Linked DNA regions of Oreochromis niloticus. The protein of the gene in region 1 interacts with the protein of each later gene in a pairwise test. Links are inferred from orthologs where the notes say so. Each region holds a gene or a part of one and is shown in the gene's direction. Other genes may lie near its edges. The genes, in order: promethin, gad2 and cacfd1.

Evidence for each region.
Region 2: the proteins of promethin (region 1) and gad2 interact in binary tests that used the Homo sapiens proteins (3 or more experiments, as listed by UniProt). The two-hybrid records come from large-scale screens. The link is inferred for Oreochromis niloticus from reciprocal best matches to the Homo sapiens genes LDAF1 and GAD2.
Region 3: the proteins of promethin (region 1) and cacfd1 interact in binary tests that used the Homo sapiens proteins (3 or more experiments, as listed by UniProt). The two-hybrid records come from large-scale screens. The link is inferred for Oreochromis niloticus from reciprocal best matches to the Homo sapiens genes LDAF1 and CACFD1.

The regions. Positions count from the first base shown.
Region 1 is NC_031969.2:19,228,860-19,236,074, reverse strand, and holds promethin, read left to right. Parts: upstream 1-4,000; 5' UTR 4,001-4,160; intron 4,161-4,413; 5' UTR 4,414-4,434; coding exon 4,435-4,527; intron 4,528-4,639; coding exon 4,640-4,808; intron 4,809-4,897; coding exon 4,898-5,043; intron 5,044-5,671; coding exon 5,672-5,740; 3' UTR 5,741-6,693; downstream 6,694-7,215. UniProt on the Homo sapiens protein: Plays an important role in the formation of lipid droplets (LD) which are storage organelles at the center of lipid and energy homeostasis. In association with BSCL2/seipin, defines the sites of LD formation in the endoplasmic reticulum.
Region 2 is NC_031974.2:12,419,248-12,427,356, forward strand, and holds the start of gad2 (glutamate decarboxylase 2), read left to right. Parts: upstream 1-4,860; coding exon 4,861-4,936; intron 4,937-5,241; coding exon 5,242-5,304; intron 5,305-5,450; coding exon 5,451-5,594; intron 5,595-6,244; coding exon 6,245-6,478; intron 6,479-7,684; coding exon 7,685-7,775; intron 7,776-8,109. Other genes in the region: myo3a (myosin-IIIa), read left to right, coding at 1-20, 2,231-2,345. UniProt on the Homo sapiens protein: Catalyzes the production of GABA.
Region 3 is NC_031972.2:15,730,419-15,738,048, forward strand, and holds the start of cacfd1 (calcium channel flower homolog), read left to right. Parts: upstream 1-4,615; 5' UTR 4,616-5,128; coding exon 5,129-5,237; intron 5,238-7,523; coding exon 7,524-7,596; intron 7,597-7,630. Other genes in the region: ptcd2 (pentatricopeptide repeat-containing protein 2, mitochondrial), read left to right, coding at 858-987, 1,362-1,454, 1,540-1,669, 1,766-1,883, 1,987-2,065, 2,173-2,264, 2,362-2,475, 2,571-2,645 and 2 more. UniProt on the Homo sapiens protein: Transmembrane protein which mediates synaptic endocytosis and fitness-based cell culling.

The DNA.
Region 1 (7,215 bases):
ACATTTTGTTCTCCTGCAGCCAGCTGTTGGACGAACACTCCTGTGCAACTTCAAAGAGAGGCGAACAAAGTGAGGAAGTGTGAGAGAGAGGTGTGGGTATCGAATGGGACAAGCTGAACAGAGACGAATAAAAGAACTAGGTCCCTCGCATTTTCTCATAATGCACAGAAGGCTACGACTGCAGTGTGTCAGCGAAGGGATAGACATCAGTAAACAAATGATATTAAAAAAATGCTGGACATGCACCAGTTAACAGGGCACCACTGGAGATTTCCAACTATTTCATGGTTCTTCATCGCTCCTCCTCTCGCAGTGATTAGTTTTTACAATCAGTGAATGCAAATTGGAATTTGCTGACAGCCCATCAATCACATTTTGGTTGCAATCTGTTGAGCAGCCTGACACATGCCAGTAGACATATCGTGCAGTCAATTTGCTCTCAGACAGCCAAATATATCTCCGTGCCACATGTATATGGGACATATTAACAACATTCAGTTTTCATCTACGCTCAAGGGAGAGCGGACTGCTCGTCACGCATGTCATTCACTGTTTCTCCAGAGCCACAGAACAGCTCTGTTGCATTTAGATGTCTTATTTTGACCAGCGCAAAGCATATATGAATTAAACCTAGCGCACAGCCAAAGTGATAATATGATTTTGCCTAATTTAAATCACATTTTAGTTGTATATTTTACTTAAAGATCTTAAATGAGATGTGAAAGAGGGTTCGTTTTAGAAATGCATGGCAGTTCACTTCAGTCACTTTGGTCACAGAAGGGAAAGCCCCTCATTAGTTCTGCTTGACATTTATTATTTCAGCATCAGTAGTAGTTTCAGCCTAATAAAAAATCAGTACACGGGTTTTATAAGAAACTGAAAAGACACAGTGCTTGAACCAGGTGTAGTATCTTTTTTAAAAACCACTCCTGAACAAAGTGCCTTTAATTTTGCAGACTTAGACAACATGTTTTTGGCCTAATGAGCAAAGAAAGCCTATAATTACCTTCTAGCATTGTGTAATGACCATGTACTTTGAAGGTGATTAAACCTCTACACCTCCTCTGGCTCCGATTTAAGACTAGATTTTTTTTAATTCTAGATGGTAAGTGAGGACTGATCCAAGCAGGTCAGGTGTGTAGCATAATGTACTGGTGAAAGGGGACATAAAACAGAGAGGTGGCAGCTGCTTGAAGGTTTGTTGCCCACTGCAGCTCTAAGTGATGAAAAATGAATGCTGCACTGCCGTGGTGATTTGATTGATTTCAACATGTTTCCTCCTAAATAATGCATTACTACAAAACACTGTATGATGGCATGTAGCGCAGCAGTGCACAATTTCAGGCTCGGGGACAAAACGCATTGGAGGAGATAATCCAAAGAGAAAAGTAAATAGAATAATATTGTTTGAGTTCTCACCTGTTGCTTGTTACGGAATAATTGTAATTTAAGGGGGTGCTTTGTTTAAACTGACTTCAACTACAAAACAATATTAAAGATTTGCAAAAATAGGCTGTCAATTGCTTCAAAGGTGTCATTTGTTTCTTAATGATGTATTGATTACTGAGTGTTTGATAGATGACTGAGATTTGAGGCTGGTCTCCCTATGAGATGTTTCACAGCTTTGGGAGAAGATGAAGCTTAATGCAGTTCAACAGGGGCGTGCTGATGAACAACCAGCACGCAGGCAGGGTCTTGTTAATGAAGCATGCATTGGTTGGCAGTCAGAAGTTATGTGGAATGCAGTGCAGCAGCCAGCCTGCAGAGTTTCCCACTATGAAATGTGTAATCTGATGGGGAAGAGCCATAAAAATCAAAGCCTGAAATTCAAGGAGATTGCAGAGGGTGGGGGTGAAGGGTGCAGGCTGAGTTATTGGGAATCCCTTGTTGTTTGGGTGCAGATGCACAAACTGCATACATAATCTCCTCTTGTGTAACTCCTGTGTACCTCCTGAAAAGCCTTGGTTCACTGGGTTCACGGTGTTTAGCAGTCTGGAGAGGTGGATGCTGTTTTTTTTTCTCCCACCGAACCTTCCCCCTGTACACAATACCAAACAGCGTGATTAATTAGTATGGCCAGCAGCTATAAAGGCTCCAAATAAGTTGTCATCACTGGTCCCAGGGGTGTCTCTCTTTGGTGTAATTCAGAACAGATCGCCCTGCCGTTTCGCTCGCCCATGCCTGGCAGTTATGTGCTCACAAAAATTTAATGCCGTCCAAAACTCGAGGGACTTAACGTAATTTGTGGGCACCTGTGGTAATATCTGCTATCTTTTACCGAGGAAGCAATCAGCGGCGGAGGTGAAGCTCAGTCATTTGATATTCCGATCAGTCTTCACAGAGAAATCTTACTGTTGCCATCTAATAGCAGCACAGAGCTGAGAGCTAAACAGTGTGGTCATTATTTTTAAAGGGCCATTTCAGCCCGACAGACTCGACGTGAAATAGGAACCCCCCCTGCAGGATCTCAGGGGAACTGCTGATAATAAAGCACCTGCTGCAAAGCCTCGGCAGTCAATATGAGGGCATGTTCAAAAGGTACCGTTTGCTGAGGTTACTCCACATCAGAGGTGCTGAGTAACCTCTGATAATGATGTCACCTGCTTGTGTTTGCTTTCTACTGAAACACACTTCCAGAAATGCACGTTTATTCTTCGCTGATTTCCGTTTTACTCCCGTGACAATAAAAACAAAACGGCAAGAACAAATCACTTGATCGTTCGTGACCTCGTGACCAACTCAATTAAGTCCATTTGTGTTTTATGGCACAATTAAGCCGAAGCAGAGAAGGCTGGCACCGGCATCCATCATAATTACTGACTGCATCATTTAATGACAGTGAATAATATGTCTGAGGAGGAGGGGAAGACACGCAGCTGCGCAGGTGGAAATATACTTGAGAGTAAAGGAAATGTCACCGCTGAAAAGGAACAAGAGAACAATCTGGGACGAAACTTCACTGTTCCAATAATCAGTTAATGGCAAAATAAGAGGTAGCATTAATATAACGTGAAGCAGTGATCGTAATCTCCACATGATTATTAATGCATTAGCAATTAAAGTATTACATGTTATTATCAAGTTATTATTTGTTTTTACATTTAAATATAAATGACTGTATCAGTGCTGTTATGGTGTTGCAGGTTATCATTTTTACCACTAGAGGGCAGTAAATAAACATGAGTCTGACTAAGGTCAGACGAAAACTATATGTGTTTTCATTATGGACATTTTATTACTATATGCGTCATTCTACTGCCTTATGGTTACCTATCTGTATAAGTTTCCTTGTGGAAAAAAAGAAATATTTTCCTAATATTAGGAAATAAATAAATACACATGACTAGCCATGCTTATTTTGGAGTTGCTGCTGGTTTATTATTTTGGAAGTGAAATCTATTGTTCACATTTATTTTCTCATTTATTTAAATTGATTTAAATCTTTTATAAAAGGTTTTAGAGGGCAGTGCAAATATTTGGTCACTCCAGATGTTTGATTCCTGCATCCTTGCATCCAGATTTTATTCTGCAGCAGAGTCACAGAGTGATATCATCAGTCACAAAGTGTCTTGATTCATGTGCAGTCATCCAGGTAAGGAAATCCCAAAAAGGAATCCAAGTCCCTTGGGTGAGTGACGCTGCAACGTTTCTCCCACTGAAAACGATGAACAGAATCGACTTTTTGGGGCCATCAGTCATTTGTTTTCTCCAAAACAAATGAAAGTGCAGGGTGGGGAAGAGCTAAAGTTTCATTTTATAATGTAATGAGTGTTTATTTTTTTTAATTTAAATTCATTTTTGTATTATTTTGTCACTGCTCTATAAAATTGCATTTTTTAATGCACTCCCTCACACGACAAAGCCTTCAGTATGGGCCTAGGTTACTTTTATTGTAGATTATACTATTTTAAATTTTCTTTGCTCCGTTGCTCTTGCTAGCCACCTAGAGCTGCAATACCTGAGCCCACCACTGGGTGGCAGCGTTAACCTCGAGAACCGTTTCTGAGTTTCTGTGAAGAGGAAGAAGGAGGAGGAGGGACGAGCAGAAAGGAGATGTGTGTTTTAAACAGGGTGTGTTGTTTCCGTGGACGTGTTTTAAGCAGCCACGGGACATTCGTGATTTCTCTCTCATGTTGTGAGCTGTCGATACTCAGTTTAAGGTTTGTACCTCACAGCAGAACTTGTGTTATATGTTTTAAAAAAGTGTGTAATGAAAGTTACTTTCGTCCAGTGAACGGCAACAGAAGTTCACAACAGTTGTTAGCTTTATCCCAGATTTTGTTTCTGAGCTAGTTTTTATTGTTACTGGGGCTGAGCTGAGGATGTGTTGAGCCGTCGGAGTAACTTTTAAATAGGAAGCTAAGTGGTGGGATTTAAGCAGCCAGACTGACTGTGTGTGTTTTTCCTCCTCAGTCACTAAAGACCTGTGTGGAGATGCAGACCAGCAGCAGTGAGAGGGGGGCTGACTTTGAGCAGCTGAAGAAAAGATGGACGGCCTTGGTGAAACACTTACAAGATGACCCCAGGGTAACCCAGAACTTCACACCTCCACCTGTCAAAGTTTTTTATGTTTTCCCTAATTTGTGTCCATCAGCTGATGGTTTGTCTTCCAGCTGCACTGAAACCTGATCTCTTACAGGTAGCACGGTTGCTGAATACGAGACTTGGACGGTACCTCAGCAGCCACTCGTTTGTAGCTCTCACAGCTCTGATGTTCAGCGCCATGGCTGCAGTGCCTGTTGGACTCTTTGTCACTTTTGCCGTTGTGACCACGATGATATCTGCAGTGGGTTTTGTTTTCTGTGAGGGTAGGTGCGCTCACTCTTGCGCTGTAGTATTTTTATGACACCGCACCACCTGGTAGTCACAAACCTGTCACCTGTGTTTGCTCTCTCAGCATTCCTGTTGTTTGTCGGAGGGTTGGCTCTGCTCTGGGTGCTCTCTGGTATCGCCCTCTTCGCCATCGTGGCCTCGGCCGTCGTTAATGTTTTGTATGTCACCACCTTCAGCCTGTTGAACCGTTACTACCCACATCTGACAAAGGTAACGTACTGACAATTAAGCATGAGTTTAGTTGCCTTGTTTGGAACAAAGTTTGTGTTGTAAATTAAAGTGGATCTATTGTGCTCATTTTAAGTTCAATGTTATTATTCATGAGCTCTACTAGAGTAGCTCTGACATTCATCAGACCTTCATTCACTGTCTGAAACAACCTTTGAACTCCCTTAAAGACAACTCTCTTCTGATTGGCTGCCTGAGAGATCAGAGATCACAGTAGTTCATCTCTCAGATTATGTGAAACTTTTGACTTATTAAATAAAAACTATATACACTCAGTCGTCACTTAATTAGGTGCACATCTTTAGCTTCTTGCTAATGGACCAAAATCTGTGAGGAATGTTTCCACCTCCTCGTTGAATCTGTGCCATGAAGAATTAAGGCAGCTCTGAAGGCAAGCGGGGGTCCAACCCTGCACTAGTTATATGTAACAGAAAATAAGGAGAAACATAGCAGGTCCTTTTTAGACATAAACAGGCATATATTCCCCTGATGGCAGTGTATAATCATCCATATATGTTCATATCATCAGTTAATGTTAAAAAGTTTGTAGCTTGCATTGGAAACATTTGTTTTCTTAGTGGAATTAATCTGTTTTTCTCTTCGATAACAGAAAGGTGTAATCGAGGGAGAGAAGACTGAGTGTGAAACTTCAACAGAGAAAGACTCGAAGGCCAACTAGTTTTTCTTCTTCTGCCTGCCTGAAGTTTCGAGTGAGCCCTGCTGAATCCGGGAGGTTGCGATGCAGCGATACAGACTCCTGAACGTGCACTATGGTGTTTTGTTTGAAATCTGCTGTTGTAACAGATCTCATTGTTATTGTATGTCTTAAGCCTAATATTGTTATTATTCCAGTAGTCTCACTGTAGTGGAGAAAGAGAGAGACCCATGGAATAACTAACATTGAACCTACCTCATTTGCTAAGTCAAGTAGCCTTGTTTTAATCAAATGCCAAAGACGCAGGCAGCTTTCCGATCTGAAGAGTGAAGCCGATGACGAGGCGTTTTAAACGTGCACTCATTTAATGGCCACTCCTTTGATTGTGTGAAGACTTACAGCTGTGTAGTAGTGTGCCTGTGTTATTTATCCATCCCTTATTTGTAGCGTCCAGTTTTAAAAACTCTCAAAAAACATTCAGTGTGAGGGCTCATTGACCAGTGAGGGAGGCTTTATGTGAGGCTCATTTCAAGAACTAGAGAAAAGGGGGAACTCATGCACTTGCAGTGTTACTTTATCCCCCCCAAAAAGGTCATGCACTACTTCATTACAGATGAACGTTTTGTTAGAATGGAAATGCCGATATATTTGTGTGTTCGGCTGCAGTGTACAGCTACTTGATGTTAAGTGAAATGCACCAAAATGACTGTCATGTGTTTATGTTTGCTGTTACGTGTGAAGAGGAACGCTATCTTCTGTCCAAACAGAGGTGAAAATATTCTGATGGGTCCCTCCAAAAAATAAAGAATGATGAGAAATGTTGTGTAGAACATGCAGTTGTAATTATTTACTGTACACAGCTGTTTATATCAATCATAATGAGGCCAAACTCCATGTACTGAGAAGATGTTTATCCATACTGCATATTGTGCATCTGATGACTGAACACAAATTAAACGTTGTTGGGGTAAATTGAACCCAGTGCACGCTGTATGGTATGTTTCGCTATTCTATCAACGTTTCTGTACTTTATTTCTCTTATTATCAAAAATAATATGGTCTTTGCTTCATCCAAGTCGCATCTTGAGTTTATCTGGCTTTAGCTGGAGTAAGTGAACTCTAGCTTGTCGATGTTCATTAGTTGTTTGATCCCTGGTTTGTTTCTGGGAAAAGACATAAACGCAGCCTCAGGAGGGGTCACGAGCTTCCACACGAGCCTGCGTAAATGGGAGGTTTGTGTCGGGAAGGGCATCTTGTGTAAAATCTGTGCCAAATCAAGTGTGGATTCATTTTGTGCGCCCTCAGGGGAAGGGAGTAGCTCAAACTATGTTAGTGTTCCTCCAGTGTTTTCTATGAAAGCTGAAGTGATGGAGAGGCGTTTTGGACCATTCCTCCCTAGGCTGTATCACATTTGATGATACAGCCACTCAGGTATAACTGCTGGAAACGGTGTCTGCTACTTGCAAAGGCTATGTCGTGGACAGAAGTAGAAATTAAAA
Region 2 (8,109 bases), on another chromosome or scaffold:
AAATCTGCCAAAGAAAACAGGTGTGTCATTTATGTCCTCTTCATAGTGTCTCTGGCAATAAGTACATGCCCTATAAAGTGTCCCTGTATTTTTGTGAAACTGTGCATGACTGCATTAATTACTTGTTTCTGCTTTTTTAATAATAACAACTGTAGACCTCCAGCTAGGTTGCAGCTGCAACATGAACCAACCCCATACAGATAACTTTCAGCTATGTTGTAATCAGCACCATCAATAAGCTTCAACAAGGTGGAACCACTTTTAAGCTGGAAATCAGTTTCCACTTTTTATGATGCCATTTTAATCTTTGTCAATACCAACCACGAGGTCCCATTATGACATTTTTGGGATTGTTTTTCCAGCCATCTCGTCATCATTTCCATTGACTCGCATTATGTGAAACAGATGAAAGATAGGTAATGGCCTTCAGGATTTTTGTCCAGCTGACCGCTTTGTTACCGTCTGCACGTACAATTTATTAAAGTTCAGCTTTACTCATTCACAAATATAGTCACAAGTTACATTATTAATGTTTGCTAACTGAATTTGTTACGTTTCTACTTCAGCATAATAATGCTACCACTGTTGCTACTGTTTAAAAATAAATCTAATCTCTGTGAATTCAGATGATTTTTAAAGTGAGACCTTAGTTTACAGAAAGAAGGAAAAGCATTATCTACATAACCATAATAAGACAAAGCTATACAGGCTGTATATGAAAGATGGAAGTTCTCACCATGATATCACCCACTGAAGCCACTTCTGAAGCATTTTGGCTCCATCTTGGATTTAAGAGACACATCTGATCGTATTTTAATGAGGCTGGAGTGCTAAGCTAGCAGCTAATGTTGGCTAGCTGGTAAGGCTATAGTTACAGTAAGGACAATGGTGATAAGAGACCATGGCATGCTACAATTTTATTGCAACTGTGTACAGTAAACTTTGTAGTTTTGAAAGTCTTAACAGCAAGTCTATGAAAACTCAGTCAATTGTTTTCTTCAAAGTGACTTTGCTGCTTTAAAGTCGGTGATAAAATGGCAATAAGATGAAGTCAGTCTGCTGAATGAGGTCAAGTAGATAATTACACGCAGTGTGTTTATTATAATAAGGAAAATTGCTGTCATTCGTTGCTAATCTGTTGCAGTCTACACATTAAACAGAAGTTCGCATAAATTACTTATATTCATAGTCCAGTCAGAACCTCACAGATATAAGACAGAAATTCTGAAATTCCTTCACAAATAGTGATGTAGTTGTCTCGTCTTTAATTCTAACATTGTGCTTGATTGTATAGGCACAGTGCACAGATATCAACTAATTAGTGCTTTGTAACATGCAAATAAAATACCAGACTTTAACTCATCACAAGCGTAGACTTGGAGAGTTTGTATCACTTAGCTGATCAAATAATTTCATCATAAAGGCTACAAAAGGCAGAAACACCACAAACACAGTCAAGACTTCCAGTTCAGTGACTTTAATTAGCTGAGGTGAAGCCTAGCAGACAGATTAGCAGCCTAGCCTGCATCCACCTGTCACTCAAACCAGTCTCACCCATAATAATGCATAATTTTAAGCCTTGACTAAATTTAAATTGCTGATTCATAATAAAAATTTCACTCCACAATAAAGTTTTTATGAAGAGCTAAATTATCTTCAGAGCCAACAACTGGGGTGTAAACATGTTTATTTTTACAGAAACTTGTTCAGTTTAACATAAACTTACTGCAGTCTGCCTCAAGTGGCTGTTTGAGGAACTGCAGCTTTTGGCACTTCAACTTTTCATTATTTTTCAGTGCTATTCAGCTGCCTGTCACAAAAAGATATTAATAAAGATTCTTCAGATCAGGACTACAAATCAGCTCCTTGATTTGTAGTTTTAGTCTGGCCACATCCTTACTCCATAATAGGACTTGTGAGGTACCAGCACCTCTGTTTATGAGTCTGGTTTTTGAATTTTAGTTTCTACTTGCTCGAAGGATAAATTCATGTATGAATTTAATCTATTTTCCCTTCAGCTTGGCCGCTCCCTTGGACAGCTCATGATAAATGGCCCAAATATGATAACCAGTATGAAAACCTTGAACCCTGAACATGAATCTTTTCATCTCCTTTCCATTTAATTTTGTTTGTTTGTTTGTTTGTTTACATCCCCATGTCCTACCTTGTGTTCAGCATTTCTGTTTTTATCTCTTTGTGCTGAAATTTGTCTCCTTTGTTTAATCGACAGGCGCTCTGTTCCCAGAATGGCCTCCACAGAGAGCCGGACTGAAGAGAATCCATATGACTTCAGACATCTACTGAGGAAGACCTCGCAGCGACAAAGGCTGATCAAACGTTACTGAATACAGGAAGTGACTTTTGGCTATTCGGGACTTGATCGGTCGGGATCACTGATCGCACCATGTGGCAGTGTGTTCTGGTGTCCTGCTAACAACAGCAGATGTTTCATTTATTTTATTGATCTTCAGACACATTGTACAACAGTTTGACTAAGAAATGAAACTCCTCTGGACTTAACTGGACAAAATGTTTTGATTTCCATGCATACAGTGAACACAGAGTACAGTCAATGTAAATAACAAGATGTCATACTTTTAAACTTGCTGTAAAATAAGGTTTTATTTATGAGACCAACAGTCTAGTTACTGGTATTCTGTATTTCCAATGTTTTTTCTTCGATATCTTTATTTTCTTTCAAAGAATTTGCAGGTTGTGCTCTTAAAACTTTGCATTTCAGGTCATTCCGAAGTCTAATCAGCTTCATATTGTGAAGAATGTACATTATTTTATCTGCTCAAATGTTCAGTTCGTTCACTTAAACAAAAAAATATATTAAATTCCTCGTCCCGTTTCATTATTTTCAGTTCGCTGCTCTCAAATTAGCCGAAATCGCAAGCTTGTCATTACCCTGCAAAATGAGTAACGTAGAAGGAAAAATGCAAAGACATTCAGTGTTTCATTGCCTGTGTACATAAAGTACATCAATTCCTCACATTGTCCCCCATCCCGCGTTATTGTTGCTTTGTGCCCAATAATCACTACGTATGAAATAACATTCACCCAAATGACAGCCTTTGATTCTTGTGAATATTTGGTGGAAAAGTAAGAAGGACAGAATGTTTTTTATTTATGTATTTATTTGAATATTGATGCCAGATTCGACCTCTGACCTTTATGTGACATTTTTGAAAGAGAAGCCCCCCTCAGGGGCTGTTAGTGAATCCCCAGCTACATGCTGACTGCACACAGTGCACAGTGGCACAAAAACACGTAGGGCTGAAGAAATCCTGACAAAATGCAGACTACAAGAGAAAAACTGTTACAGCTTCCTCCACACACAGGATTCACAGATAAATGATTTAAAATAAAATATTATTACAAAATGTTACACCAAGTTTGAACAAAGAAAGAAACTCTGAAATGACACAATAGAGTAATCTCATAATACATTGAGTTTGGGTTTACACATTTTAAAGGGTTCAGTTTATGTTAATGAGTCTTTTTGGGTATTAGATAACTGTTGACCAGTGCATTCATAAATCACCGCAGATGAGGCTCAGTGTAGCTTTGATGCCCGCAGGGTTCATTTACACTAATTCGTGGAGACACGGAAGGTGACGCTGTTGGACTTCCACGTGGTGATTTGTAACTAGATACTGTAAGTAAAATAAAATGTTATTTCTGTAGCACCTTTGCAGACAAACACACAGTGCTTCACAACACAATACCAGAGCAAAGAAAAACAGAGTTAATATTATTTTTAACTATTCCAATTTGTTTTCCTCCTTATATCCGGATGTTTTGACGCAGTTAAACTGCAGATTTACGGGCTTAACTTTATTTTGGATGGGGGGGGGGGGATGTCTCAAAATCAGACGAAAAAAAAACACTTTGTGAGTAAAGAAAGTAAAGCAAGCCCCTCTCTCAGTAATAAATATTTTCGGAGTAACGCGCCCCTGGAGTGAGCGGAGAGAGGAGGGACCCAGGCGCACTGTGTATTTGAACCGAGTCCCCTCTCCGCCCCGCTGTCTCCTCCACCGGAGGCGGGCAATTAGAGGTCTGAAGAAATAGGTCTGCGATTGCTGGGCAGATGAATTAGTTGGCGTTCAGTGTCTGTATGGAGGGTAAGTTCTGTGCGCAGGGGGCCAAAAATGTCGGGGATGTATGGAGTCACGACGCACGACGCAGCGCGGCTCGTCATGACCTGAAGTGAATCACGACGGGATTGCTTTAGTGACGTGAAATTTAGGTTGGCTGCAATTAGGCATGGCTTGTGCGCCGCATATTTACCAGCAGCTGTAGCCTCATAGCTGCTTTCCCCCCCCCCCCCTCCACCATTTTCACCACCTCCTGCTTTTCTTTCTTTTTCTTTTTGCTTATTGTTTTTCTCTGAGTCATTTTTTATATAATGTAGCAGCTTTGCATCAAAAGACATTTCACTACATCCGGAACTTGCGCAAACTATCTTGCGCTGTATTGCATTTTTCCCCCTATTAAGTAAAGAGCTTGGCTGCTCTGCGCCGGTCAAGTGTTTGCGGATTTCTTTCTGGACACGGCGCTTCATGCTTCGTGCACCTGTGGACGCCTGCAAAGGAGGAAGCAAGGACGCCTTTTGTGATTTCTTTTATTTTTATTTACCCACCCCACGCTCACACACACGCACATACGAGGGTCGGTTTATTTGTAGGGTCTTTCCAACGAATTAAAGCGTCTGTCGGATGCACGGCTGGATTTCAAGCAGTCTGAAAGGTCTGGTCAGATTCAGCACCACATCGGCTCTGAACAGCTCCCGGTCGTCGCGTGTGGATGGGCTCTGTCGGTCTCCGCGCCTCCTGCAGCTCCTAACTACCGGCAACAATGGCATCACACGGGTTCTGGTCTCTTGGCGGAGATAATGCGGGGGCCAATACCGGGAGTCAGAGCCCGAGTACGCGTGAGTGGCTTTTTGTCTTCAAACCACCTCCTGACGGACCGGGCGCAGTAATTCCTGAGCGTTGTCTCAAGCCAGTGCCCTGCATTCAGCGAACCACCAGACAGGCCTTATAATAGGCAACAATCCTGCTTTTTTTTTTTTTTTGGCTTCTTTCTTTCTTCTTTTTCTTCACATGAGACATTTTTCGTGTATCTAAAGAGCTGTTTTATTCCAAGTTGCATGGCGCCTTTTGTGTTTCCCTAAACTTGGACTGAAGCTGAAGCCAGCACATCCCTTATCTGATTTATCCCCCTTCTCTCTTCCAGCCAGGGCTTGGTGCCAAGCAGCGGCCCAGAAATTATCCGGAGGAATTGGATCGAAACTATGTGGTATGTTGGGGAAGGAGCGGGGGCGGGGGTGGAGACGGAGGGGAAGCTATTTTTAGGCAAACGTGCCAGTTATTTCCATCATAACTGTCTGGCCATAGAGTAATAAAAATATATATTTCGATGCTCTTTTTTGTGGGTTTCCAAAGCGCTGCTAAATGTCGGGGAGGTGGAGAAACCTGCCGAGCCGGGCGCCAAGCAGCCGCCGCAGACGGCTGCAGGAACCTGCGGCTGCAACAAATCCTGCAACTGCACCAAAGCTGCTGTGGTCTTCTCCGACCTCTATTCAACAGGTACGAAAGTGCACTGTGAAGCTGGATTAATTTTGAGATTTATTTTCTTCCCCGAGTCCAAACTTGGCCTTACATTGAGCAGTTTTCACTGTGCGAAGTAGGCTAGAAAATAGACCTTGTTTTTATGCGATATTTGTATATAATCATCTTAACTATAAAAGAAAATAATCTCAAAATGTGCATCAAATATTTGCATCTGATCGCACAAACTCCTGAGAAATGAATGGCTGAAGTTATCCGCTTTAATCTCAATTTAAAAAATAACACATTATGTATTGGATGAATAGTTTTGTCCATCATTTTCATTTTTACCACATTCTGAGAGAGGAGTTATGTTGGTCAGTTCTTTCCTCCTCAAAGAGGGGCTATTTCCGAGAGGTCACCTTCACCAGAATCGTGTGTTTTGAGGTGTTGAGCGCAAAACACGAGATTTTCGTATAAAACAGAATCAGTGTTCGGACGTGGAAACAATGTCAAATTATTTATTTGTCTGCATGGAGGAAAATTTCAAAGACAAAAAAATAAATAAAACTTTGACCCGTGTAAAGGTGAATCTTGATATTGCGTGGAAGCATTTTTTTGCACACATTCCTCCGTCCTCAAATAAAAATCACAAAATGCCTCCACTGTAATCCACCCTCCTCTCGCAGACCTGTTACCGGCCACGGACGGTGACACCAAAACGATGACCTTCCTGCAGGAAGTTGTGGATATTTTACTGGCCTACATAGTGGAGTCTTTCGACCGGGAAACGAAAGTTATTGATTTTCATTATCCGAACGAGCTGCTTCAGATGAACAACTGGGAGCTGCAGGACGAACCTGCGACTCTGGACGACATCTTGATCAGCTGTCGCGCTACACTGAAATACGCCATCAAAACAGGTAGGCCTGGGTCTGATTTTATTGCATGCATGCAAATCAATAAATTCACTTTTTAATATACACATATGTTTATTTAAAAAAATAGATGCGTCGGAGTGTTGGAAAAAATCTCCCCCCAGGCTGTATCATCACACGCAGGCCTGGATTCCGGCCTTTCGCTCATCTTTGTGTGAAATCTGCCAAAATTCCAATATTTACGCATATAAATGGAAAATTAAAAACACATTTTTAACAATAAAATAAAAAGGAAAGCTAGATAAATTACAGAGCGCCACTGTGAAATTTATGTTACACCTTACAAATTATTTAGTTTTACTGCAAAACTAAACTGGAAACACGAAAGCGGTGAGCTTAAAAAACCGACCCGGAAAGAGAGAGGCAAACAAAGAAAACGTCTTTAACGTGTTCCGGGTTTAATAAATAAATAAATAAAATGATAAATGACGCCTATAAAGCATCAACACAGTTGTCCTCCTTTTCCTCCTCCTGACCACCAGACCGATAAATGCAGTGACGCAGTAAATCTGGTTCACCAAGTAGGAGATAATAGGCTAATAACCAGGCTTCATAGGCCAAGTCCATTATTCTCCCCTGAGTGACACACGCAGGGGGGGAATTTACAGCAACGCCACAGGACAGATTTCAGCCTCCAAAAAGAAAAAGAAAAACTGAAAAAATAGTTTATGAATATTTAACAACCTTAAAAACAATTAAAATCACACTGTAATGCGGGTATAAGCAAAGATATGAGGATTTCAGTCATTTATTGTAATCATCAGCAATTCTCCTCTGCTATGAGAAAAAATGTGTATTATTATTATTTAGGAATTATTAGGTGCCCACAGAAGGACTTGCACCAGATTTATAAGTACAGTTATATCTTCCTTCCTTCCTTTTTTTTCTTTTTTCTTTTTTCTTTTTTTTTTGTTTGATCAGCCCCATAAATTACTCTTTGTTTTAACTCCTGTGTTTATGACGCAGACTGAAATCTGATCACGTCTCACTGCTGTAACATGTTTTGTGTGTTTACCTTTTACATTGCTCAATGCTACACCAAATGTTTTCATCACTTCCTGAGATTTTGTTTTAAAGTTGACAATTAAAGCGCTCGGAAGATGACAGCTTCTGCTGCGTAAAACCTTCAAATTGCAGCCATCTCACACTCCGCCTCTTTGCCTTCTCCATCCTCTGCTCCTTTCCCTTCAGCCCACCCCAGGTACTTCAATCAGCTCTCCACGGGATTAGACATGGTCGGACTGGCAGCCGATTGGCTAACATCCACCGCCAACACCAATATGTAAGTATGTGGCCTGCTTCATCGCGATTTTAAGCGGTGATAATGATAATGACAATGGATTCCATTTCCGGACCATCCGCGTGCAGTCTGCTCTGCGTCTGCATGGCCTGATAGCGGCCCCCCACCCCCTCCACACACACACACACACACACACACACACACACACACACACACACACATACACTCAGTCATGGCAAATGAAAAGGGGTGAAATGAAAGGCAGGCCCCCACCCCTCACCACCCCCTGCACCCACAAGGCTCCCCCTCTCCTCTCCCCCCTCAGCCTTTTATCCCCTTCACCTCTGATCCTCCTGGGGATTCAAGAGGAGAAAAT
Region 3 (7,630 bases), on another chromosome or scaffold:
AAGTGTGTATGTGGAAATATGTGTGTGTATGTATGTACCAATGCATATATGTATATATACATATATCTATGTATGTGCATGTATACTTGCAGGTGTATGTATAACTTCTACATATCTTTCTCGTGTAAATTTAAATTTGTCTGTTATTGTGTAAATACTTACGCTATTGTGTACTTCACACACATGGAGAAATGCCAAACTGCCTTTCATTGTTCTTGTAACAGTGACAATAAAAAGCTATTCTATTCTATTACAGTAAACAGCAATATAGTAACAAAGAATAATACCATATGAGTGTAAGCTCATATCTGACTTTCTTAGTCCCTGCATTTTACATTATTAAAATGTGTATATTATACCTCACTGTGTGGGTACAGTACAAACACTGTAGCTGCTCCAAGCAATGACGCCAAACCAGAAATGTTCTGTAGCACAACAGCACCACCTGCTGGTTAACAGATAAACACATTTTCCTGTTTGATGCCGTTTTGTTGAGTAATAAAATTTCGCGTGGCCTTTCTGGAAACCACGATTCAAAGAATATAGTTAAAGCTTCGTTTTAAATGACGATCACATTATTTCTGATGTATAATGAAAAATCTGTTCTCCTTCGACCTGCTTAAAAAAACTGAGCCGGGTCATTAAGCGGTGCCATTTTGGATCATACCAACTGGAAATACCACATTACGGAATTAAAAATAATAACTAATTATATTTTTCAGATTAAATAAAATATTGACATTTTTAAGTGTTTTATTTTAATATGGCTTAATTCCCAGGGCGGAAATTGTTTTGTTTTTTTTAATTTAAAACCTTGCTTTATTATTACCAATAACATCCCCTTTGATTTCATTGCCATGGTACAGCCTGTGGGAGATATGGCGCTGGGCAGACTTGGTAAATGTTGTCGGTCGTTATTATATGAGCCCTCTAAAGGAGTTTTTTACGGTGTTTTACAGATAGGCTGGATTGAAGGCTGCATAGGAGGTAAGACAAACAAAAGTCGCCAACAAATGTTGTCACTCTTTAAAAGGTAGTATGAAAACTGCGTGGTTTGCATAGCGGGGGCAGCTAGCACCCTGTAAAGCAGGCACACGTGAATTAAAGCAAGGTACAGCTGCTAATGGGGATACTGAACTTGAAATAAAGTCCACCAGAATTTGGATTTAAAAGCTTAACTGTTGCCACTGTTGTTCTCTTTGGCTATGTGAGTATTGTGCAAGTTATTCTATGCAAGGCTACCTTATCACAGGGACTCGTGAGGGCTTTCTTCTCGTATAGTTGTTATTTTTGCCCGTATATAATTGCCATGTAGTGGTAACTGATTATGGATTCAACCACGCATTTTAACCACCCTACAGCTAAAAGGCATCTGTTGTCGGAAGATGTTATCAAGCTACAAGACTTCCAGCAAAGGAAGCTGGCAGTGGCTCACCATGTCAGTGGATCGGAAGGTGAAGTAGTTATTCTTGTCACTGGCACAGTTCTGCAAATTTATGTCGTATAAAACTTACTTTTTGTGTAAACCTAACTTTACAGGGAATTATATTAACCTATTCAGTCAGAAGCTGCAAAGGAATGAGCTGATATTGCGGGATGAGTTGAAGCTTCTCCTTCACCTGTGCCAGTCAGCAGATGACATGCAGATAGCCAGAGATGCCATCTACAGGTAAGCGTGCAGCATTCACTTACAGGGATTTTTGTTAATGACCAAAAAACAACCCAGCCAAACCTCACTCACCCATTGCTGGCTTGCTCTCATAAGGTATCACACAGAGAACCGTAACTTGTTGTATGGAGACTTCAAATTTGGTCCTCTCTTCATGAGACTGTGCTATGAGTTGGGTCTGGAGAGCATGGCTTTTGCTACAATCACGGATAAGGTGAACTGTACAACATCCAGACTTCAGTTTTACAACAATAACTAGACTGGGCATATACTTCAGTGTTTGACTAATAACATTTTATTTTGTCCTGTCTGAACAGAGCATGAAAGGATTTTTCCACGACACCACCTCCTTTAATATAGCGATAGACATGTTGTTCATGAAAGGCTCCTTTGAAAGTAAGTGACAGGTTAACTCTCCTGTGGTTTTTTTTTTTGGGGGGGGGGGGTTTCTCCCACAGTGATTATGATATTTATATAATAATGCAAACTTTTAACTATTGCAGATGCTTTGGAGGTTCTAAGAACCATGAGGAGCCAAGGCATACCATTCAACAAAGACACTCTCACGTTAGCAGCTGGTACCTGCTATAAGCTGGTAATGTTTCAGATATTTTAATCTTTTATTTTCATTTAACATTACAACCTTATTTATTCTTATATTTGGACTGATGCCCTGTTTTTGTGTTGGTCAGAATACGGCAGAGACCTACCGGATCTGCATCGCGCTCATAGAAGAGGAACAGACCAGAGGGCAGTTCATCCCGAGGCATACTTACTGCTTCGCTGTAGCACTAGCACTTCGAAGAGTGAGTTTTACATTCAGTACCTCTTATGCTTGAAGAGAGATGTAGCACATATTTAAAGCATCATTTATTTTATTTTCTGTGTGTGTGTTTTCCAGGGTGACCTAGAAAAGGCTCAGTCATTATTTTCACAAATTATGAGCACCGACAGCAGATTATGCCAAAATTTTAAGGTAAAGGTGCAGCATGTAAAATGTAATGTGCATTACTTCTTGCATTAGTTCTTCCTGTCATTCTGTGTAATTTGTTTGTTCTTTAGGTACTAATATTAACAATGTCTGGAGCGTTGGCAGAGGCTATTTCTATACTTTCTGCAGCCATGTTGCCAGAAAGTCCATCTTTTGTAAAAAAGCCAGAGTTTTCTCAGGAGGTGGTAAGTGAAACACAGCTACAGCTACTTAAAACTAGCACAGCTGCCAGGAGATTGGTTAGGGTTACATAACTGTTGTTAGTGTAAATGCTTATGTACAAGATGAGTGGTGCATTTAAAGTTCTACACTTTTTTTTTTCTGCGATAAACATTGGAAAAATCTATTCCAAAGGAATTTTGATGTATCCTTGTGCTGTTATTATTAATCTGAGCTACTCTGAGGAAATGTTACTCACATTGTTGATTCAAGCTTCAGAGAAAAATCATCTGCCCGAGAGTTGACTTGGTGTCATCCCTTTCAGGTGGATTTGCTACGTTTGCGGAGTCAGGGCAGGCCACACATGATAAAAATGGAGCAGGTAGTGACTCAACTTGAAAGAGACGGTCAGGTGACTCAGCAGACGCTCGATGACATGCTGTGTCGCACGCCCACAGGGAAGAGGAAACCAGCGCCAATAGGACTGGAGAGGAGAACTAGCCGGAGAACTCTAAAGCCTCTACAGTCCACTTTACTGTCAGAGTGAGGCCAGAGTGGGCCATTTAAACACTCTGACATTTCCCAGAGTTGACTTTGATGCTATAAAAGCACTCATATGATATTTAAGGGCCCTGAACAGCAGCCTATTAAAACGTGCTTGTCCTCGCCAATGCAGATACAACAGCCCATAGCATTGCACCTAAAGAAGCAAAATTGCCAAGAGGAAAGTTTATTTTTCTACTACATCAGCATCATTGACAGAGCCTATGCCATCTTCAATAAAGAACACTTTAATATTTTATGTTAAATGTGTTTAAAATAAATTCACAGTACCTGTGCAAACTCTCAGACTAATGAATTATTATGTGAAGGCACAAAGCAACACTGTTGTGAAAAGGTAGGTTGCCATCTTTAATGCTGAGTCATTTGACAGTTAATGCATATGACTCAGGACTATCGTTAGCTACCAAGAAATCAGAAACGGGGACAGGTTTATTTGTAAGGCTCGTTTGGAGGTCATAAGTGGGTTTTTTGTTTTGTTTGTTGGGGGAGAAGTGTGTTATGTGTATGCATGAGTGATCAAAGACAGATTTATTAAAAATCTAAAGTCTTGGGCTGTTTCTGGAATCAAATGATTTTGCTTTCTCATACTTTCTGAAGAGGACACTTGCAATTGTAAAGAGCAAACACTTGATATGTTGTGAGTTTTTCCCGTAGTCAACACTAGATGTTTCCCACATCTTTAGTGTGGTTTAAAGGTTTAGTAGTGTCTCTTGGATTTCTATTTGAATGAAAAAAAGTGGGCCAGACCCTTGAGTCTAAAGACATTTAATTACACATTTAAAAAATCCCTGAGATATCTTATGAGAAAAAGAAGTTCAATGTTAATGGTACATCTCAGTGTTTCTACATGGCCTGTACTATAAAGAATGAAAGAAATGTGTTACAGAAACATTTATGTTTAAAAAAAAAAAAACAAATTTCTATTTAGTAGATATTGAAAAAGAAATTGAAAGAGCTTTTCTGTAATTTAAATATGTAATTTAGCGTAGTATGAATGGTAATGCGAGAGGTCTTAAATGGTACTAAACAGCTGGTCTTGAGTGTACACTCTCAGCACCTAATGCCACACCTTAAAAATAACAGATTACTTTAGTAGAAAATTATTAAAATGCCAACAGATGGATGTGAAATGCTAGTATTTCTACTGTAACAAGCATACATAAAGTACAAATGCCAACCAAACCCGCCCGTAGGAATTCGCCCGGATGTAAACAAACCGTGACGTACATCGGAACCTTCCCACAATGCACCGCTTACGTCTATTGAGCACGTAATAAGGCGAAAGACTGAGCTGCTAAATTAACGTGAACATAGCGGGTGAACAGTTAGTAAACAGCAGAAAGACAGCGTGTTTGTTTATTCGTTTATGTGACTGATTTTGAAGTTGAAGCCATATGAGGCGGTGCGGCGACATCCTCGCCTAGCGGCCGCTGGTGGCGGTGCTTTTTAGCGTTAGCTTGCCGGTTCGCTGGGACTGCCTGTGTAGAAGCTCCTCGTAACATCGGGCAGCTGACCCCAACTGGAGCAGACAAAGGAAAGAAAATAATTTATTTTAAAAAAGACGTATAAACTGAAAAAGATATAAAACTATTCGAAAGGACCGCGAGGTCGGAGTAAGATAGTTAGGAATTAGTTTGCTGGGTATTGTTACATTAATTTATATTTTCATATTTGGGTGTTGGGTGGTCTGATATTTGTAAATACTGGCTTTGGTTAGCTTTAGCGAACGTAGCTAGAAAAACACAATGAGTACCGAAGAGACGGCAGCGCCTACAAAATCCGCTCCGGATGATGATGGAATGACATGGTGGTACAGATGGCTCTGCAAAATAGCTGGGGTTTTGGGAGGAATATGTAAGTAGTTGTCAAAGTCTTATGTCACTTCTGGAGTAAATAACGTTACGTCCACAGAAACCCAAATCCTGCCATGACCACACGCTTAGCTTTAGTTAATACCACAGACTGTGCACTAGGACCACTGCTGCTGCTGTGTGCCAGGTCACGACATTTACTTATTTTGTGTGACAGCTATGTGAATAATCTTTACGCCGTAATTGATACTGTGTGTGTGACCTCCTCAGTATCCAGATGAGGGGCAGCTGCAGAGTGACATGGCATGGCATTTTCATAACGAAAAATCTGTTTTAGATTGTGAATATGCCGCAATTTAACTGCACAGCCACTAAACGAAAGCTTTGTCACTGCTTTGTCCCCCTCGCTGCAGCAGCAGCCGCTCCTGGGCACCGCCTGTTTGTTTTTTGTTTTTTCATGCCACAGCAGCTTGTTCTGCCAAAACGAACCGCGATGTACACGCACATACTCAGGTATTCCCCTCAGGAGTTTCATGTGAGGCTTTTTATTTATTTATTTATTCAAATGTAACTGCTGGAGCTGCAGTTTTTGCAGTATCCCTGCAGCCAACCTTCCTCTCCCTGTATCCATCTCTCCTTCACAGTGACACCAGAGTCACAGTGGCTGTATCACATTAACAGCTCCATATTCAGTGGCTTCTGTATTATTAAGGAAGCTGGATGGTCTGAAGGTGCAGTGGATGAGTTTCAGCATGAAGCTGCTCTGTGGTGTTGTTTGGTTTAGTTACCACAGTGGTGAAAACTGCAAGACTTGAATACTCTCGACACCACCCTAAAAATACAACTCTGTGCAGACATGAATTGGTATTCTGAACTCAAGGGTTTTTACGATTTTGTGCAAGATGTTTTTTTACATTTCAAAAATATCTTTAACTGGAATGTGTTTGTTTATGATTAATTGATACAGCAAATGCTAATAAAATATACATAAACTTTTAGGATGGAAGTAAATTACAATTTAAGATTTATAAAATTATCTAAAACAAAATTTTACAGCTTTATCATTTTTATTTGTAACATTAACTATTGGCAAATAACCTTTTGGATTTCTGTTTTGGGGGGTTTCTTGTTTTGTTTTTTTGCCAGCTCTTTTTTCCCCGTTTCTGCAAAATCCAATCCTCAATACTATTTAATACTTAATACAATATTTACCATCAGATTTAGAAGCAGTGAGATTTTTTTTTCAGATATATCATTGTTTTTAATAGCTGTGGAGTTCACATGTGAAATGAAGTTATGGAAGTAATTTCAATGTAGTGGATACATGCAAGCACACACAGCAGACTGAAGATATAATAATAGCCAACCCCAAAACTTTACCTGTTCTGTTCTACATGGATATCATGTATCTAGATAGCACTTCTTGTGTTTATAGTTGACTGCATTACATTAGTGTGAATCAAACTGGCAGTAATTTACACCATTAGTTTATTTTCTGTGTTAATTGCTTTATTTCACACACATCCGTGATGTGTGAGGTGCCAAGTTGGCTACATTAGAGCCTGCCAGAAATCCCCACATGTAGGAAGTAGACATGACTTCTTTACACAGCTTTTGAACTCACCATCACCAGCCGTCTGTTTTCTACTGAGCTTTTGGTCTGTCTCATTTTTCTGCTGTACACATATTTAGTTTTTTACATACAATAGTGGACCTTCTGCTCCTTAGCAGTGGAAAATCTTCCTCACACTGTGTAGATGTTGTCTATCATAATCACTGTGGGAGAAATGCTGCGAGCGAAAGGATTGAAAGGTTTCAAACAAATGATAGCCAAAAAGAGGAACGCAGCCTCAGTTATGATGCAGTTATTATTAAAACACTCTGAAACTAATTCTCTTGTACATAAAAAAGGCAGTCTGCTTTGATTTTTGACCTGACTTCTGTCAAATTTGTTCTGTGTAATTAATCTCTGGGCCAGGCCTTGTTTCATAATCGCCCTTTCATCGAGATAGGCGTGCTGTATTTGAACGGTTTATTTGATTTTCGTTTATTTGTTTCAGAACAAACGCAGAGCACAGTTGTAGCGCTCATGAGAGCTCTTCTGTGTTTGTTGTCCTTTTGCATTCGTATGTTCCATATTTTCCACGTCACTAAGCAGCTTACACATGACAACTTTCCCATTTTTCGACACAGAAGTGGCTGAACTGTATTAACAGCTTCAGCCGGATGTATGGGACGGATTATTTTCTCTATCATGCAATGATCTGCTGTCTGTGGTATCATAATAACAGCCCTTTGCTTTGTGTTTTGTCCTGTCCAAATCATGCAGCCTGTGCCATCTCAGGAGTGTGGAACTGTGTCACTGTGAACCCTCTAAACATTGCTGCTGGAGTGTGGATGGTGTAAGTCCCATTACTGTCGCACTTTTGTAATATT